Linked DNA regions of Callithrix jacchus. Each later gene encodes a partner of the first gene's protein in a complex. Links are inferred from orthologs where the notes say so. Each region holds a gene or a part of one and is shown on either strand. Other genes may lie near its edges.

Evidence for each region. Proteins that work in one complex are often made in the same cells at the same time.
Region 2: the proteins of KCNMA1 (region 1) and LRRC26 are in contact, whole or in part, in a cryo-EM structure (PDB 7YNZ), measured with the Homo sapiens proteins. The link is inferred for Callithrix jacchus from reciprocal best matches to the Homo sapiens genes KCNMA1 and LRRC26. Residues at the interface, in NP_001154824.1 of Homo sapiens: Pro78, Cys79, Asp80, Ser81, Arg82, Gln84, Trp88, Ala92, Ser93, Val96, Thr97, Glu155, Trp158, Met159, Ser161, Val162, Trp165, Cys206, Leu226, Leu227, Phe229, Gly230, Leu231, Phe233, Ile234, Asp251, Phe252, Pro256, Phe259, Val260; in NP_001013675.1 of Homo sapiens: Gly204, Cys205, Gly206, Cys207, Ala208, Arg236, Leu237, Ala249, Phe250, His252, Cys253, Ala254, Gln255, Leu257, Arg260, Asp261, Leu262, Val264, Val265, Tyr266, Leu268, Gly269, Pro270, Ser272, Phe273, Ser276, Leu277, Cys280, Leu281, Leu283.

The regions. Positions count from the first base shown.
Region 1 is NC_133513.1:53,241,660-53,245,171, reverse strand, and holds part of KCNMA1 (calcium-activated potassium channel subunit alpha-1), read right to left. Parts: intron 2,345-3,512; coding exon 2,152-2,344; intron 1-2,151. UniProt on the Homo sapiens protein: Potassium channel activated by both membrane depolarization or increase in cytosolic Ca(2+) that mediates export of K(+). It is also activated by the concentration of cytosolic Mg(2+).
Region 2 is NC_133502.1:185,580,277-185,583,441, reverse strand, and holds LRRC26 (leucine-rich repeat-containing protein 26), read left to right. Parts: upstream 1-1,386; 5' UTR 1,387-1,453; coding exon 1,454-2,147; intron 2,148-2,232; coding exon 2,233-2,564; 3' UTR 2,565-2,660; downstream 2,661-3,165. Other genes in the region: TMEM210 (transmembrane protein 210), read left to right, coding at 276-465. UniProt on the Homo sapiens protein: Auxiliary protein of the large-conductance, voltage and calcium-activated potassium channel (BK alpha). Required for the conversion of BK alpha channels from a high-voltage to a low-voltage activated channel type in non-excitable cells.

The DNA of each region.
Region 1 (3,512 bases):
TATATAGGATCTAAGAGGCTGGGATAAAGTTTAAGAGAGCTGGAAGGAACACCTACATCAGATGCATGTGTAACTAAATTATACACTGAGATTCTAATCTATGGCCCTGGAAAATCGTGATGATTGAGTTAGGAGGAAACAGGCATGTTGGGGAAAAGGAGTGTTTTCCTGCCTCCTCCTGCTGGCTTCTGTCTCTACTTAAAGGGAGAATCACTGCTTCTACTTTTTTACATTCCCCTTGATGGTTCACTGCTCCCCAAGAAAGAAGCATCTAACAAGGGTTAGTCATGTCCTGTTCATGTGAAGGTTTACTGTGCTTTAAAGGGGTGCATTTGAGTTGCCTGGGGATCTTGTTAGAATGCAGATTCTGACCCAGCAGATCTGGGGTGAGCCATGAGATTCTACAGTTTTAACAGGCTTCCCCAATAGATACCTGTACTGGCGCTGGGCAGAGAGGACACATATTGAAGGTCAAGGGCTTAAAGGCAGGAACCAAATGGCAGCTTGCCTCTTTTACTCCCTAGAAGGTCAGCCTGCTGTCTTCTCACTTCCTTTCTCACCTGGGCTGTCTGGGCAGGAGGGGGTCTCTGCCTCTGCAGGATGCACCTGGGAGTAAGAGCGCAGGGCCTCTCTTAGGCCTTGACATGTCGTTCTGTCCTGCGGGCACAGCTGAGCAGGTGGATACCAAGATTGAGATTTGGGTGTGGTAGGGAGGATGGTGGCATGGAGAGGTCAAAATTAGGCTGCAGGCTGTATTGGGGTGATGTCAGAAGAACAGAAGCTACTTCATATCCAATACAAAAGCAGAAGGTCCCTTAAGCTTGACCAGAAAGTGCTGTGAACTTCAAGACTCTCAGAGAAGCCACAACCCCTCTCTCAGTTACCAGCAGTGAAGATACTTGCTCCCAGAAAGCTCCTCTGAGAGATGATTTGAACCTGGGTCTGCTAAGGTCTGGCTCCAACTGTCTCCAAAGAATCAAAGCCTCCCTTTCTCCTCCACTTTTCAAATCTCATCCCAATGCCCCTCTTCCACCAGCTGACTCTGCCCAGAGCCATGCAGGAAAGAGGATTCTAGGAATGATTGTTCCTGGATTTTCTGCAATGCTAAGCAAATGTTAGAAGGTGGTGGTGGTGATGTCAAGTTGACAAAAGATAATATAGCTCACAGATCTAGGATGCATGATCCAGCTGAGCTTCTAGAAAGCCTGGCATGACGTGGAGGAGGTCAGACACTTGCCCAGCTATCAATAAGGTGGTGCTTCATATGCCAGTAGCCATAGTGCTCAAGGACTGTGCTCCTACAGCCTTTCGTCCTGGACTGATGGGATTCAGGTCCTCATCAGGCAGCCCATGCCACCCGCTTGTAGCCCTTATGTAACAATGATCCTCCAGTTCATGGCAAGACTACACGGAGGTGTCACTCAAAGGAAAATGCTCTGCATCCTATCCTGCCAGATGCTGATTACGGAGGTCGTCTGTTATGAAGGTTTTGCTGCATTTCCTTTCTAAGACTCCTAGACATCTTTACTTGTAACCCCCTGTCCAGGATCCCAAAACAAATGACAGGAAAGACTGGGGCCAGAGTAGGAAGGCACACATGTGTCACTTAAGGTTGCTTTGCCTCCTATAGGAAAATGTGTGGTCTGACAAGTGTCACCTCTTGCTAAATGACTTTTAGTGTCCATAGAGTTGCCACTCTCTGGAGAGCACCATCCTTTGGTCAGCAGAGTCCTAGAGGCAGTTCTAACAATAGCAAAGCTTAACACTTCCATCTCAGCTCAATGGCAAAAATATATTCTGGAAGGAAATGGTCGGAATTGTGCAGCCAGCATCTTTTCAGTGCTCTGACATTTAGCTGACACTGCCCATGAAGACACTCTTTGGGAAAGCTGAGGGGGTGGCCATTTAAAGCGTTGTTTATCCTCTGGAAAGGCAACTTAGTCAGTGTGTGGGTGACCAGGTCTCAAGCCTGGACCCCAGAATGGAAAGAAGGGGCAGCAGATGCCCCTTTGAAAGCCATCCCGGCGACCGCAGGTTTCACTGCCAGGCAGGCTGATGTGAGCCTCTTTGAATTACTGAGTGAAGGATATCCCTCTTGCCAGCCGCTGTCCCCCGTAGGCACAGCAAAGAAGTATTACAGGCTGTCCTTACCTTGGGAATTAGCCTGCAAGACCCCGATGCTGTCATCAAACTGCATAGATTTGATGTTGAGCGACGCCAAGATGCATTCCTTGTCCTGCAGCGAAGTATCATCAATATTATTCTGATTGGCTGACAGGATAACGCACATGTCACAGAGGTTGATGTTGACAGCCCTTAAATCAGCCCGACTTAATGGCGTACCCTTTGGCATAGAGGAAAGAAAAAAAAAAAAACAGAGAGAGAGAAAGGAACAAAAGTGAGAGGAGAGGGAAAGAGGAAAAAAATAAAAACAAATTAAAGATTGAGTCAGAGCTTTGGGAAATTATTTAACAAGTATCTTTTTTATGCCTTGACATTAAGCTGGCCTAACTACATTCAAGGGAATAGGAGCTGTGTGCTAATCTAAAGGGTAGTTGGTGCTGATGGCAGCATTTTAAGCTTGCTCTCAATACTCAATCAAGCTATTACTAACAAACGCGGGAGAGGAATAATGTCAGGGTTCTACATCTTCTTCCTGCCTGGAAATTGTCTTGATTTAAGTAACTGTCCTGTGGCAACCTCTGGCTTTCAAAATGTAACAAGGGAGTGGGTTTCAAGTGCCTGTTTATTTGATAGCAGGTCACTTCTGTCTCAGGCAAAAGACAGCAGTTCCAATGCAGCCAAGAGGAAATGGCCAGTGAGCATGGAGTGATGAGGTGGGCCTGGACATGCAGCTCAATTTGGAGGCTATGGATGGAGTGGAATTAATGCGGGCAATGCAAAAGGGACATGGAAAGGAGTTAAGCTCCAGGTCATATAATTGTATTGAATATTTCTACAAGAAAAAAGTACACAAGGTAGTGGCCTGATTGTCCAACAACATAGGAATGGTGAAATATACTTTTGGACATTCACACAGTGAAAATGTATGCAGGAGGTAAAGAAGCAGAGCTAGCTCTCCATGCAGGCATCAGCTTAGAAGGCTCTCTAAAATAGAGGGGAAGTGAAAAAAAAGTTCTAGGGCAATTAAAAATGTATAGTTTCATTTATGTTAAAAAAAAACTGACAAAATAAAACTACATACATATAAATGTATGTAAGGTTGGAAAGAAAGCCCAGGAAAAATATCCATTACACTAATAACGGTAATTCCCTCTGGGAAGGGAAATAGGATTGGTGGGGGTGAGGGCAAAGTTTGCTTTTGACTTTATATACTTCTATATTGTTTGAACATTTTATAACAAGAACATATTTGTATATTATAGGTTCATTTAAAAATAAATAAGCCCGTAAACAGATTTTTAACATAAAAAAATAACAAAAGACGGTGGAAAAATCCCAGATCCAGGAGGTAACAACAGAGTCCAGGAATGCAAGCACAGGTAAAATGG
Region 2 (3,165 bases), on another chromosome or scaffold:
TAGCGGAGGCCTTCAAGGGGGGGTGCTGTTCCAGGGAGGCCCCGTGGGGGGGGGCTGTCCCAGGGGAGGTCCTTGAGGGGCCGCGCTGTCCCAGCGACAGGGGGGTCACTGTTCCAGGGGAGGCCCTCGAGGGGGGCGCTGTAGGGGAGGCCCTGTGGGTGGGGGTGGTGCTGTCCCAGGAGAGGCCTTGGGGGAGCACAGTTCCACATGCTGGCCTGCTCCGGGGGGTGGTTAGAGCCCCACCAGCCTGTGCTGACCCGGGCCCTGTCATGCAGGTTGGTGGAGAATTTTGGAGTCCAGGAAGACCGCATGGACCTGCATCCAGTATATGTGGAGTCCCAGCTCTTGGACGCTGACCTGGAGGTCTCCGTGATGCCCCCACTGGAGGATGAGAGTTTCGTGGCCATCCCCATGGAGGCTACCCCAGAGGAGCCACCCCCACCCCCACCCCTACCACCTGAGTAGGGCTGAGGAAGCCGGTGGGGAGAGGAAATAAACCGTATTTAGAGGTTGTGCACTGTCCTCCCTGCAGACTCTCACACCCCTCAAGGCTGCATTGTTGGGCGTGCACTCGCCTATGGGTCTCATCAAAGCGGGCACCCAGGCCCACACCGGGTTCCGCGTTCTCTGCCCCAGGGCAGTAAACCACACCCCTAATGTGTTTCTACCTTCTCTGCCACAGCTGGTCAGCCCAGCTCCTCCCTGAACCTCGTGCTTTTGAAAGCTCCTAGAACAGGACCTGCAGGTGGTACCTGCAGCAGGGATGAGCAGAAGGGAAAAGCATGTGAGACCCAGGCTGCAACTGGCAGCTCCGGAGGCAGCTGGGTTTAACAGGACTTGGGCTGATGCCCCTCCCCCACTCCACTGGCAGCACCCCAGACGGTCCAGAAAAGTCCTGAGGGGGAAGGGTGGAGCTGGCATCCTCTCCTGCCTGGGTGTGCTGTCTCCCTACACCACAAGGCCCATGTTCAGTTCAGGCCTCATCCACCACGGGAACGGACCGTCCCTGCGTGAAGCCACTCAGCACGTGCACACTGGGCTCACTTTGCTGATCCTGAGGGGGGCCAAGGCCAGTGAGGAGCAGGACCTCTGGGCTGCGTTGCGTATGGGCGCCGGTCGCAGCCGTGAGGTCGGCGGGGGCAGGTGGGCGGCGTCCTACTGCTCAGGGCTCGGCGGGCGCCTGGTGGTGAACCAGTCGGGGTGAGGTGGTCCCGATAGTGCTGTGGCCGGCGCTGTGCCCAGAGCAGTCTGGAGCTCCGGGACAGGTGGCCGGCGGTGCCGGGCGTTGGCCGTTTGCCCCGCCCCAAGCGTGGATCCAGCTGTGGGACAGGAACTGCCTGCACTCGCGCCAGAGAACATTTGTGCAGGCGCCGCAGGAACGCGCTTAGTGGACTATAGGCTCCGGGGACGCACAGGCAGCGGGCCGCCCACACAGGTACTGGGGGCTGCCCCTATGCGGAGTTCCTCCTGGTCGCGGCCTTGGCCGCAGACGCCAACGCTGCTGCCGCTGCTGCTGCTGCTGCCGCCGCTGTCGCCTTGGCCTGTCTGGGCACAGGTGTCGGCCACGGCCTCGCCCTCGGGGTCCCCAGGCGCCCGGGACTGCCCCGAGGAGTGCACGTGCGAGCCCGGCGGCCTGGCCACCTGCTCTGCACTCGCGCTTCCGGCCGTGCCCGCGGGCCTGAGCCTGCGCCTCCGCGAGCTGCTGCTGGACCACAACCACCTCCGCGCGCTGCCGCCCGGTGCCTTCGCGGGAGCGGGCGCACTGCAGCTTCTGGACCTGAGCGAGAACGGGCTCCACTCAGTGCACGTGCGAGCCTTCTGGGGCCTGGGCGCGCTACAGCTGCTGGACCTGAGCGCCAACCAGCTGGAAGCGCTGGCACCCGGGACCTTCGCGCCGCTGCGCGCGCTGCGCACCCTCTCTCTGGCTGGCAACCGGCTGGCTCGCCTGGAGCCCGCGGCGCTGGGCGCGCTCCCGCTGCTGCGCTCACTCAGCCTGCAGGACAACGCGCTGGCGGCACTCGCGCCGGGGCTGCTGGCCCGCCTGCCCGCCCTGGACGCGCTGCACCTGCACGGCAACCCCTGGGCCTGCAGCTGCGCGCTGCGCCCACTGTGCGCCTGGCTGCGCCGGCACCCGCTGTCCACGTCAGGTGAGCTGTCCCGGACGCGGGGCGGGGTCTGCGGGGCGGGGCGGCCGCCGCCGCCTGACGCCGCGTCTGTGTCCGTGTCCCGCAGAGGCCGAGGCGGCGCTCTGCGTGTGGCCGGGACGCCTGACACTCAGCCCGCTGACTGCCTTCCCCGACGCCGCCTTCCGCCACTGCGCGCAGCCGCTAGCCCTGCGGGACCTGGCCGTGGTCTACGCGCTCGGGCCGGCCTCCTTCCTCGTCAGCGTGGCCGCCTGCCTGGCGCTGGGATCCGTGCTCACCGCCTGCAGCGCGCGCCGCCGCCGCCGCACCGCCGCCCTCCGCCGGCCAAGGAGACCGCGGGACCCGGACTCCGATCCCGACCCCCACTGCTCGGTCTCGCCCGCGGGCCCGGGGATCCCCGCGGCAGCCGCCCAAGCCTGAGCAGCCGCGGCCGCCTGGGATTCTGGAAGCTTCTTCCCCAACGCCTTTGCCCTCCCTTTACTCTCTGTCGGCGTCAACAAGCGACACAGACCGAAACCTGCGTGACATTCCTTTAGGCATCACCACTGCACACACCGGGAAGTGGGGGGAGGAGGGGCAGAGCGCGCCGCGCATGGGCCACACGGGGAAGGCACGCGCTCGGGCCCTGGGAGCGCTGGTCCTGTACAAGGTGGTGGGCCGGGCACGCACCCGGAGCGAGGGCGGGGGCGGGCGGGTGGCGCTCTCCTGTGCCCGAGGTGCAGGGCAGGGTGGAAGACAGTCCCGAACCAGCGTCCGGGGAAGCCCGTTCTGGGCCGCAGGCCGGACGAGGAGACGAGGGGGTCGGCCCTCTCGAGTCCAGAGGAGGAGGAGGAGGAGGAGGAGGCGGTCTGAGGCAGCGGGAACCCGAGCGTCTCTGGGAGGCGCTGACGGCCGGGAAGTCAGGGACGGCCGTGGGGGGAGGGCAGGGCCAGCCCCGGCGTGGAGGGTCAAGGGGCAGACGGGGCGTGGGTGGGCGGTGCAGCAAAAAGAGGGGAGGGTGGAGCTCAGGCTGCAGAGGAGT